3 linked regions of the Coturnix japonica genome follow. The protein of the gene in region 1 interacts with the protein of each later gene in a pairwise test. Links are inferred from orthologs where the notes say so. Each region holds a gene or a part of one and is shown on either strand. Other genes may lie near its edges.

Region 1 (4,182 bases):
AGATGTAAACTAAAGTAAGAAACTGAGATATTCACATTATTCTTGCTTTTCGGTTATAAGGAAAACTCTAGATTTACAGCCTGTGTCTGGTAACTATGCTCCCATTTAATTCAACAGTACTGCTCACTAACTTCCAGAGTACTTTAAGAAAGACCTGTAGCAGATAAAGCCTACAGAATTTGAGCTCCACTTTGGTTTAGTTTTTACCAAACTAAAACAGAGTTAGGGCGTCTGTGAGTGGTAGAATTTAATGCAAAAAGTACAGCGAGAAACAATGAAAATGTAACTGTTGTTCCCATTTAGAGTAATAAAAGCTAATGTAATTCTTAGGTAATTTCTCGTTTCTAAACTTTTTAAAGACATTTGGGTTTAATGTTTCTGCAAAGAAGACATTACAATGTTATTTTACTGAAACAAAATAACAGAGAAACGACTATATACATATTAGTACAGTATTCCTACTAAGCCAGGATGACCAGCTAAATAAGCGCAGTTTCTTTCCATATTGGATGCCTGGATCACACGTCCAGGTACAATAAGCTGATCCACAGTGCTTTCTGTCCCGAATAAATCTGATCTTCCATCACCTCTCACAGCCGTGTGCCAAAGGAACCAGATAGAGGTTTCTGCTAACAGGCAAACCTCCGCTAATTCAAAGCATCAGGAATTTGAGGGAGACAAGGGTTATCAAAAGTTGGAATAAGCTCAAGGAACCCAACGAACGCAGCCACTGCCAACGAGCGGTGCGATGCCGCTCCTGTTGCTGGCACAGCCCCGAGGCGGAGGAGCGGCCCTCTGGGAGACCCCCCCCGTCCAGCCGGCCCTACCACTGCAGGGTGAGCTGCGTCTGCTTCTTCTTGTCCTTCATCATCTGCGTGATGCTCTTCTTCGGGGACGGGCTCTTGTCCGCAGCTCTCAGTTTGCCGTCGCGAGTATTCGCATCCTCTTCTTCCGAGGAGAGAGTCTCGCCGTTAAAAGGCACTTCTGCGCGAGAAGGAGCGAAGAGAGAAGCAGCCCGGGGACGGCATTAGGTCGGCAGCACACCGTCCCCCCGAGCATCCCGTTAAACCGGCGCTGCCCCACGGCCGGGCCCTCCCCAGCGGCTCTCCCCGCGGTCCTCACCCGACTTGACGGCAGCGGGCAACTCCGTCAGCCCCCTCCCGGCTCCCAGCCCTTCCTCGGCGTAGGGCAGCAAGCCGCCCGCCAGCAGCTCCACGTAGCACTCCTCCGGCCCGGCGGTGGCGGACATCGCCTGCGTGGCCGGGAGGTGCAGGAAGGCGTCCTCTTGCTCGGGCCCCTTGGCCATGCTGCTCAGCGGCACCTGCCTCGCCTCGCCGCCGCGCCCATGGGCTGCCGAACGGGACGGGGCGGGCGTAGGGCAGTGCGGGCCGCTTGTGCGAGGCTGCGGTGGCGGGGATAGTCGAACGAGAGGAGAGGAAAGGCGAAGAGAGAAACAGGTGTGACCCGGGAGGCGGCGGGTTCAGGGCGCCCCTCCCTCCTGACGGCAACTCCCGGGGGAGTCGGGGCTGGGGGCACGAAAGAACGGGTCTGCAGGGGCTTAATGATTAACTGCCGGCTGCGTGCGGAGGAGCACCTCGGAGTTCTCTCCTTACTTCAGTCGTGATGCTATACACAGCTTAATTCGTATCACCGTGTCTGTATATGACTTCTGTCAGCTCTCAGCATAACTCACAGAGACAGTTCAGCTTCTGTTCTGAGGCTACAGTAAAATCTTATCCCGTTCTCTGACTTCTCTAAGTACTTCAGAGCCTGACCCACGAGGATCAGTATTTCTACAGTGTGACAAAACTTTCCAGCTACAAACTTACACCGAATCTCTAGTAAGCAAAATCCTATATGCCACTGTCTTCCTGGTAACAGAGAGCTAAATGTGGTATCCCTTGTGTAAGAACAGGATTCTCCTTCACTGTTACTTCAGAATATCTTCCATGGCACAAATTCTAGCCATCAAGACATGAACCAGGTCGTTTCCACCCCTGGGCAACAGTAATTTGTAGTCACTTCCTGTTGCATCTGTGGGTCAAGAGCTGCTTCATCGTAGAATCACAGAACAGTTTGGGTTGGAAGGGACCTTAGAGCCCATACAGTTCCAATCTGCTGTTATGAGCAGGGCTGCCTCCAACTTGATCATGCTGCCCATCCAACCTGGCCGTGAATACCTCCAGGGATGAGGCATCTACAGCTTCTCCCTTTGCACTGCCTCTGGACTGCCCCAACCCTGAGACCACTAAGGGTAACATCCCTGTGACTTTCATTCAGGCATCCCTTCAGTTACTGGAAGGCAGTGACGATATCTCACTGGAACTTTCTCTTCTCTGAGCTGAGCAAACCCAGCATCCTCAAGCTATTTTCATAGGAGAGGTGCTCCAGCTCTCTGATCTTCATAGGCCTCTTCTGGACCCACCCCAACAGCACTGTATCCTTCCCATACTGGGGGCCCCAGGCCTGGACTTCCTACTCTGGATAGGCCTTCACAAAGGCAGAGCAGGGAGGCACAATCACCTCCCTCACCCTGCTGGCCACCCATTTACCTGAAGCTGATTCTGATTTAAGAACTCTTTTGGTAAATGAAAGTTATTGGATTTAATAACTTCCTCAGGCTCATACAAACACTCCTATCTCTACTAGCTCCTCCAAAGCAAGTGAATGGCTATCGTGCAGCATTAACAGCTCTGTATGAAACTGGGCATATGTTTGCAGCAGTAAAGAAAGAAAAATGGATTGGCTAGTGCTCCTGAGCAAACTCATGTTTAAAGACTGCATGAGAAAAGTGCATCATCCACTGCCAATATGTGAACAAACATATCTGTTTTGTAATAAACAGAAATGAGGAAGTTCTTCCTGTAAGTAATGATAAATTACATACAAATTATACTTATCTGACAGGGAATAGTGTTCCTTAATAAAATCTAATTGTTTTTATAATATTCTACATGAAATCACTGGTACTGAAAATAACTTATAGGAGAGAAATATTTGTCCAGGCAGGGACAGGTAAATTCTAGAGTTCAAGCTGTGCTCTCGCAGCTGTAAAACAACCAGATCCCTCTGCTTTATGGAATAGATTTTACTCCACGTTGTCTACTGTATGAGACACTGATAGTTGGTGCTGTGTCTGTTTGCAAAGTCACAGGGATTGCAGGGGTCAGCAGCAATGGCATATTTCTTATCACCACAGAAACTTTCTTTCCCTTACATGTTAACTTCTCAGCAGCCATCCTGTTGTGATTTGTAGTCAGGGAGTTCACAGAGTAGTTTTAAATTTGATGTCTCTGATGCCGGTGTGGTACATCCCTAGTATTTGAGTGACACCATGAAACTCCTGACATGGCTTGCCAAAACCAGTCAAAAAGCCCAGAGAATTGTCCACAAGTTTGCAGCCTGCAAGTAATTTTCTTTGCTAAGGTAATTGCCCTTGATTTAGTCTTCATCTTTTATTTTACTTATTTCAGCTCTTTACTTTCTTTCAGGCCATTCCTGTTTCCATTCAGTTCCTATCACTCTCTTTGTTCCACGTTCCTTCAATTTTCAATTCCAACAGTATGTTAAGCAGGATGTTCCTTGCTTGAAATTTGCTTTCAGTGACAATTTTGCTATCAATTATGTTTATTTGCCTAACTGCCCCAAACCCTTTTCCTCACTAAAATGTTCTGAAGCACTTATTTCATCATAAGCAAAATACCAGAAGTCCATCTTCTATTTAATGGACCTTAAATGTGAGAAGTTGTCACACCTGCTTATTGAAAAGTGTTGATTTAAGGAAACTGAAAAGATCTCTTGCAAAATAACCAGCACAGTGTATACTACTGGCCTTACTCGAAGGAGTTAATTCCTAGTTTTCTGCTGTTTGATATAATCTGGGAAGCATTCATCCTGATGGAAAGGTCATATTACATATAAACAAAACACACTGCTTTCATTATCACTAGCATTCTTATCCTGGTGCTCTATGCCAAGGCTGGAAATGTGCTCTAAGACCCTTTAGCAAACATCTTGCAAATGCAAAACCAACATATTCACAATGGTTTTCATGATAGAAATTGCCAGAATGTAGCTCCTGCTTTAAACTGTTGCCCAGGAGTCCAGGAGTCAATAACAGACTCCTGGACTCAGCCTCCTGATGTAGGAACTGCATTTGTTGTTGTTGTGTTTTTTTGTTGT
Region 2 (3,619 bases), on another chromosome or scaffold:
TCAGGCTTAAGAAGCATCAGGGCCCCCCTCATCGGACCGGGAGGACAAGCTTATCTTTCCATCTCTGGAAGTCTGATTGAAACCACCTCAGCCTTTCTGAAGGCATATTTTCCAAGTCTCCATCATAACCACTGCTGTTACAGCACCTTGTAACCAGTATCACTGTCCATAACCACTGGGCTGCTCCAGTTGTACCCCAGTGAGCACCATTCTGCTTCCCCTGCACTGCGCTGCTTCCTTTTTCCTTTCTTAAATTCTCTTGTTGTTGGATAACAAAAATTAGGTAAAATTTGCTCCTGATGTTTGTTGTTAGTTGTTTTAAGTACTTTTACGGGTGAGTTTTGGGAAGCTGGCTATCTAAGTTCAGCTGTGTGTTGTTGCCTACCAAATTAATTTAGATAGAATGGAAGACAAGCAGGATCCCTAGAAGAGACAGAATTATATTCCAATGGTGATATTTCAATTTGGTTATTAAGCCTATCTACAGCCTCTGAAAAAAATGTTTAATTCTCTTACTGCAAACCTCATTAACTGCTCCTAATGATATTTATAGTCATCAGAAACAGAGAATTTGCTGTTGGTTATTATATTTTCCTCTCATGGAGAGAAGCAGCATTTCTAATAGCAAAGAAACTGAGCTATTCCTACTGAAATCTGCAGAACCAGAGGGACACGCTGCGACAGAGCTCTGTGCTCCCTGAGTTCTCTGTATCTTCTAAAGCTGATGCTTGTTTTCGTGCAGCACAAAACCATGTGCTGTTTGAATGGCATCTGCAGGCACTGAGTGAAAGAGCCCGGGCTCGCAGTAAAGCATCTGTTGGTAAATCTTGCCCTATTAGCATGGGAAAATGTGAGAATCCGGGCTTTCTTTAAAGTACTCCCCCAAAGAAACCAACATCAACAAAAAACTTTGGCCAATTCATGATTGTAAAGGAAAATACAAAAGCGTGACCAAAAGTGTTTAAATAAAAATACTGGAACAATAAGGCAAATACAAAGCACTGAACCTCTTTCATACTCCTGTGGATCTAAGGGAGCTGAGTTTTGTCCTTGAAAGGCCTCATTCATGACTTCTGAACAGCGAGGATTCCCCAGTTGGTTTGGAGCTGAGCTTCCCTACCTATGTCTGAATGTACAGGCTCTGCCTGCAGGGCTGTGGCATGAAGAATTACCGACTGGCTGTTGGGTTACTTGAAACAAGTACGTCAGTCGGTTTTAACCTGTCCCCACAGGCAGAATTACCATTAGTTATCATTAGTTATTGACCTAATGGCCACTGCTGGTAATTATCATGCATTTAAGGTATCACCTAGTGACTGCTGCACAGGTGATTCCTCTAAAGGCCAGTGTGAGGACAATAAGGGATAACATGTACTAGTCTTAGGTCTTTCCCTGCCCTTCCCCCTTTAACAATGCTGTACCTGCTGAGGGTTGGATGTCGTATAGCTTAAGGTGCCATCACTGCTGCTGTTCCCTGGGCTACTCACAGCACGCCAAGAGAGGCAGGCTAGTGCATTCACAGTCACACCTTCCTTTTGGAGAGCAGCTCTGCCTTCAGACCAGCCTCCAGTGGACCAGTACTTTCATAACAAGCTGGTACTATGCAGGTGCAGAGCCTTGGTCAAAACATCTGGACAAAGAGTAAGCTGTCCACTTAGCACTGGGTTAGGGACTGATGTACTGTAATACTACTTAATAAATCTTTCTGAAAGGTGGCACAGATGAATTCCTCTCTACAGCTGGAAGTGTATCAAAGGAGGCACCTCCTCCATTTGTTCCAGAGGTCCCACCAGCTTGGCCACAAATAGATCTCTAAAAACTCAGAAGTAATTTCATTGCTTGCATCTGCTCCTGGGCTCCCCTGCCAAGGTCTGTGATTTTACAGTCACTTCCTTCTATTTATAGACATTGTTTTTGTCTCTCTCACTTTGGGACAGACCCACATAAACAAGAGCTGACAAAGTAACCTTGAAGTACAAAATAAGTAAATGGATGATTCATACTATGGACTATTAATACAACGTCAACAACAACAACAACAAAAATCACAGCTTCTTTTTAGTTGCGAGAACCAAAGAAACCAATAGATAAATGTGTGTGTATTTATCTTAGCCATATAAAATGTCTGTGCAAACTCTTTGGCTGCGTAGTACAATCCCTGAAAGCTTCTGTAGAAGACAAAGGCTGATGTAACACCATTTTGTCTTCCAAAAAGCCATCTAGCCTAGAAGAGCTCTGCAATCTAAAGGCTTGGTTGTACAGTTAGTCATGCAACCGATCCCATTTTACCCCAGCCAGCCCCACCATCTTCAAGAGCAAAGTGCTGCAATAGATCATTTTGTAACTAGAGACTTGGAGGCGTCTTTACTTGGTGATTCTCATTAGACATTTTATAACTGTTTTTAATTTCTCCCATCGAATTACTAAGCAGGCTGGAGGCCTGGCAGAACCCAACAGCGTTACAGACTGGAGCCATTTTGTGATGATTCCAGCACGTCCCAGAAATCCCCATCTGCCTGAAAGGTGAGTGAGATCTTTTACAGCTCCGTAAGTATTTTCTGCATTAATGATTTTGTTGCCAAGCAACAGCAAAGCAGCACAAAGGGGACCAAGGCTCACCATTGCTAATCTGACTCTGCATGAGGGAGGAAGGAGGAAGGCCCGTCCCGATTGCATCACTGAGATTGCTCTGTGAATGAAGAGATTGGTTGGATGCGCTCTGAGTCATTCCTCCCGGGCCCAAGTTTATGTTTTGCGTTGGTGGCTGCAAACAACAAGGAGGAGAAGCAAATTTTGTGTTAGGTTTTATTTAGAAAAATAATCACCCTCAAATTAGCCCAAGCGTGACTAAAAACTGCCTCAAGTGCGTGTGCTTCCCTCGCTTTCTGAGCAAACCTGCTCCCATTTGACTAGCGTGTGTGAATGACACTCAGCGTGACACGGGGAAGCCAGCAGGCAGCACAGCAGAGGTCTCCAAGCTGTGCTTCTAACAGAGATCGGCTTCTGTGCCCGTTCTGCTGTACTTAGATGAATTTCATTTGGACCAGACTGAAAGTAACTGCTGTGGGGAAATGCCTTTGCAAACACCATACAGCAGAGTGGTGACAAATTGGCCTTTGCCAAGCATAAAGCTATTGTGCATTTCGTGTTATGTTGGATACTTCTAAAATCAACCCGTTCAGCAATAACTCGGTTTTTAAAAGCAAGCCAATGCCCAAATACTGAAGGAAAATTCTGATACAAAAGAGTGACTTTTACAGTAAGAACAGGCAAAGAAGAATGAATCTGGACCAAATGGATCCTGCTCAGATATGTAACACTGCAGCATTTCCAGTATTTAGAAATTAGGCCACAGAGACAGATATTAACACAAATATCCCAAAGAACGCATTTGAAACACAGGAAAAGTAGCTTTTCATGTGGTTGCTGGTCTGCACAACCACCAGCCAAAAAAAAAGGTTTACTGACACTGATCAGTGTCTGCATCAAAGCACGTTTCCCTCTGGCACAGTAAATATACATGGTGGTAGCATCGGTACTTACAGCAGGAAGCAAGGACTGCATATTCTGGTTAGAATCTGCTATTGTTGCCAAGTAAACGAGGTTTCTGTGCAAGATT
Region 3 (4,189 bases), on another chromosome or scaffold:
AACAGCAGCCGGGGCTGTGCTTCCTTCGGCTTTGTTTTTGTTTGTAGATTTCCCCCCTCCTTTCTCTCTTTCTTTTTTTCTTTTTTTTCTTTTTTTTTCCTCTTTCTTTTTTTCTTCTTTTCTTTTCTTTTCTTTTTTTTTTTTTTCTTTTTTTCCTGTTGTTGTTGTTGTTTCAATCCTCCTGCCCAGGAAACTGGAGCCCTGTCAGCCGGGGTCCCAATTAGAGGTTCGTTAGCCTAAACCTCCAGCGGCAGCCAATGGAGGGAGCGGGGAGGGGACGGGCAGGGCCCGGCGCAGTGTTAACCCTGCAGGGATCGCGCTCCCATCGCATCGCGTTTTCTCGCCACCTCTTATTTTCCGACCATCCCCGCCCCGCTTCGCCCCGGGTCGGCGTTTGGGCGGCTTTTATCATCCGCCGCGATGTATTTTTTCGTCCCTACATCAGAAAGAACCGGAGCTTCATAAAAGAGGGGAGGTGTCATTACGCCCCGGCGTTGAGGTGGGGGAGCTCCGCGGGGCTCTGGCCGGAGGCGGCCGGGATGTCCTACTTTCCTCCCAGAGCTTCGGCAATGGCAGGAGTCGGAGCAGGAGCCGCGTCGGGGCCGCGCTCCGGTTCGTGCCCGCCCTGTTGTGTGTCCCTGATTTCTGAGATTTCCATTTTGCAGCCGCAGTGTTTTATCCTCCCTGTAAAACCCCCCGTGCTGCGGATGGAGCAGTGTGCGGGGTGTGGGGGGGGGTACAGGGGTCGGGGATACTGAGCCCCCCCCCCTCCCTGCTGCCACCCACAGGGAGACACGTGGGGCTGAACAGCGACTGTTCCCAGGGACCCCACAGGGCGCAGCCTCGCTCCGGGGGCGGTCAGAGCCAGAGCTGCGCTGTGTGGGCATGGGGCGGACTTTGACCCCACGGCCCCACAGCCGCCAGCGGAGCGTCAGGGGAGGGGGCGGGGGGCAAAGTCCGCACGGGGACAGCGCTGCGGGGGGGGGGGGTCCTGCAGCTGGAGTCAGTCACTGTGTTGGAGTCAGTCACTGCGCTGAGGGCACCGCAGGGACCCCCCGAGCTCCGGCTGCGTGTGGGGGGGCACCGACCCCTTCTACACAGCCCCGTGCCGCCCCGATCCCCCCTGCAATCCCACCCACCCCCCGCTCCTTTATAACTCCCGGCTCTCCGACCCCTTTCTGTCGCACTGACCCCTCCGATAGACCCCCCGCCCCATAACTCCCCACCTATCCCCATATCCCCCATTACCCCCGTCTCTCTTCGCCCCGCCCCTTACACTGACCCCTCCCCCTCCTTTAGCCCCTCCCCCCATCCCTGCTCTCGGTGGTGGCGCCCCCTTCTGGCCGCTCCGCCGCCTGCCCGGGGTCCTCCCAGCGCGACGCTCTAGGCGGCGGCCGGCGGACTCACTCGCTGCTCCCGGCGGCCCCGGGCCGGGCCGTGGGACGCGGCGCTGGCGGGTCCCGGTCCCCGACCCGGAGCTCGCAGCCCTTGGGCCGGGCCGGGTCCTGGTCCCGGTCCGGTTCGTAGCTTTGGGCCCGGCCTCAGCTCCCGGACGGCGGAGCCGGGCAGCGCCTCAGGTACCGACCCACGGCCGGGCCTCGTCCCGCAGCGCCGCTCCCACCCGCTCCATTAACCCCTTTGTGTCCCCCCCTCATTCCTCCCCCGTTGCCCCGTTGCCCCTTTGCCCCCCCCCCCGTTTCCCGTTGCGCTCCATCCTCCCCCGGTCCCATTTCCCCCGCCCCATTGCCGGGTTCTGGTTCTGGTCGTTGTGTTCGTCTGGAGCCCGATGGGGGTTGGGGGGGGGGGGCTGGGTGAAGGGCTGAGCTGTTGCCCCCCGCCATGGCCGCCCCTCAAGGCTGGGGTCTCACTGTGCTCCTCCTCCTGGCTGCAGTGAGTTCAGGGCAGGTGATGGGGCTCCATCCCTGAGCTGGAGGGAGAGGGGAGCAAAGAAGAGAGGGCAAAGATAACGTGTTTTCTGTGGGATTCTTGTTTCCGTGAGAGCACTGATGGGATGGCAGCCCCCACGACAAGGAGCCCAGGGACCAGCCCCAGGATTCGGCTGCAGATCAGCAATCGGTGCTGAAGGTCAGTGAGGGATAAAGCCGTGCAGTGATGGAGATGTGCTGGGTGATGGCAGCTCCAGCCTGCCCCGCTCCAAGCCTCCCTCCACTGGAGGACTGTGCATTAGGGGTGTGGATGCAGCAGGGAGGTGTTGAAGGGCTGGAGCTGAGGCCGGGTGACGTGGAGCTGCAGGGAAGGTCGGTAGGTTGTGGTTTGATTTGAGAACCAAACAGGGGAGTCTCTGCAGCAGCACAGGGATGTGGCCCCAGGAGTCATCGCTGTGTTGGAGGGTCTGGTGCTGAACCCAGTGCTGCGCAGTGGGTGTGGATCTGTTAGGGCTGCTTCAGAGTTGCCCTATTTCCTCACTACTGGGTATAACTCCTGTGTGCTCCGTGCTCGCACTCACTGCCTGTGAGCAGACAGCTGAATTGTGTTATTTGGCATTTCTTAGTTTTCAGAGTCTGAAACGGGCTGGTAGTTGTGTTCAGTTGCTGACAGGGCTGTTGTTCTGTGTCTCATAAGGACCTTCCATCCAATGAAGGCACCTTCCCATACCCGAGCAGCAGATGTCACGTGCCCTGAGTCCTCGCTGCTCTCTGCTCTTCCTGGGTACAATCCCAAAGCTGAGAGGTCAAATATCTCTTAGTTTTAGGTTTTCTAGATGTGTTTCTTTCCTTCCCCACATGTTTATTCTTCTCTCTTTTCTTATCTCTTGAACTGTAACTTTCTTGCCAGGTGGAAGATGGGGCCATTTCCCTCGTGTTCTGGGTGACTGACACCTGGGTACCATGAAGTCCTGAAGGAGATAAAGGGACGGCAGTAGTGGGATTTTCTCACCTTCAGAAAACCCAAGCAACCACTTGCCTAATGGTAAGAAAGCTGTTATTCTTAATTAGGTTTATACTGCACAGGGTCCATTCATTGGGGAACATGTCATGAAGTTCTCAAAGCAAAAAGCATCTGAGTTCCAAACAGGCTGAGCCACACGCAGGGACACCCAGGAGGGAATGGGCTGTAATTTGATTGCTCTCTCCTGTGTCCTTTCCCCAGGGATTACCTCTCCTGCTGCCGTCATGGGGAGCTGCTGCAGTTGTCTGTGTGGAGACAGCATCCCAGACAACCACCCCACCAAATTTAAGGTAAGTGTTGGGCCTTCATCCCCATTAGAGAATTTATAGCAGCTCTGACTGCTTGCAAAGCTCAGCGTGGGTTGGGCTCTGGGCATGGAAGCAAAGAAAAACTGCTCTTACAGACAAGTCTTTCACTTGATAAGATTTGCAAACATGTTGCTGTTTTTTTTTCTTTTTTCCCTTTAATTAAGTACCCTCTGCTGCAGATATGTTTCATATTTGCAGTAGAAATTTCCTCTACGCTGAGATTCAGCCTGAGCAAGGAAATGGAGAACTGGAGAGAAACCTTTTATTGCTCAGGGCTGTGATCCAGTGTCTGTGCTGAGACTCATCAGCTGAACTGCTGAGCACCAAGTCTCCAGCCCTGTCAGCTCTGTGCTTTCTGCCAGCAGTGAATCTGTGCTCTCAGCTGAAAAAAGGGCATCTGAGGAAATGAAGGGGGAATTACAGCATCTTAGTGGCAGGGCCTTTTTTTCCCCCCCCTTTCCTAAACACACCAAGCTTCCTGATGTGAGCTGCGTGGTTTCTGCAGGTAACGAACGTGGACGATGAAGGTAATGAGCTGGGATCTGGGGTTATGGAGCTGACGCAGACGGAGCTCATCTTGCACACTCACAAGAGAGATGCAGTCAGGTGGCCCTACCTCTGCCTGCGCCGCTATGGCTACGACTCCAACCTCTTCTCCTTCGAGAGCGGCCGTCGCTGCCACACGGGGCAGGGTGAGTGCTGGCTGCTTCATGAAGCAGGAGCTACGGGGTTTCTGCTTGTGGCTTCCCACAATCCTGCATCTGAGGAACCAGCAGGTGTTCCTGCAGCCTCTGATCCCCCCGAACACCCCATGTGCATGCACGTGCAGTTGATACTCAATTAAAATACTAATGGGAGTGCTCCTGTGGCTCAGAACCTGGGTGTAAGTCTGGCAGTCTCATCTTGCATGGGCACTTAGGAGGTAACTGGCGAACCAGGCTTCAGCTGAAGTTTGCAGCAGATGGAACATA

What was found.
Region 2: the proteins of RFX6 (region 1) and SS18L1 interact in binary tests that used the Homo sapiens proteins (3 or more experiments, as listed by UniProt). The two-hybrid records come from large-scale screens. The link is inferred for Coturnix japonica from reciprocal best matches to the Homo sapiens genes RFX6 and SS18L1.
Region 3: the proteins of RFX6 (region 1) and FRS3 interact in binary tests that used the Homo sapiens proteins (3 or more experiments, as listed by UniProt). The two-hybrid records come from large-scale screens. The link is inferred for Coturnix japonica from reciprocal best matches to the Homo sapiens genes RFX6 and FRS3.

What each region holds. Positions count from the first base shown.
Region 1 is NC_029518.1:57,929,752-57,933,933, forward strand, and holds the start of RFX6 (DNA-binding protein RFX6), read right to left. Parts: upstream 2,899-4,182; 5' UTR 1,307-2,898; coding exon 1,123-1,306; intron 985-1,122; coding exon 828-984; intron 1-827. UniProt on the Homo sapiens protein: Transcription factor required to direct islet cell differentiation during endocrine pancreas development. Specifically required for the differentiation of 4 of the 5 islet cell types and for the production of insulin.
Region 2 is NC_029535.1:6,919,237-6,922,855, reverse strand, and holds part of SS18L1 (calcium-responsive transactivator), read right to left. Parts: coding exon 3,544-3,619; intron 2,765-3,543; coding exon 2,620-2,764; intron 1-2,619. UniProt on the Homo sapiens protein: Transcriptional activator which is required for calcium-dependent dendritic growth and branching in cortical neurons. Recruits CREB-binding protein (CREBBP) to nuclear bodies.
Region 3 is NC_029541.1:4,688,167-4,692,355, reverse strand, and holds the start of FRS3 (fibroblast growth factor receptor substrate 3), read left to right. Parts: upstream 1-1,350; 5' UTR 1,351-1,577; intron 1,578-1,891; exon of another isoform or gene 1,892-2,085; intron 2,086-2,668; exon of another isoform or gene 2,669-2,691; intron 2,692-2,796; 5' UTR 2,797-2,931; intron 2,932-3,111; 5' UTR 3,112-3,134; coding exon 3,135-3,200; intron 3,201-3,723; coding exon 3,724-3,910; intron 3,911-4,189. UniProt on the Homo sapiens protein: Adapter protein that links FGF and NGF receptors to downstream signaling pathways. Involved in the activation of MAP kinases. Down-regulates ERK2 signaling by interfering with the phosphorylation and nuclear translocation of ERK2.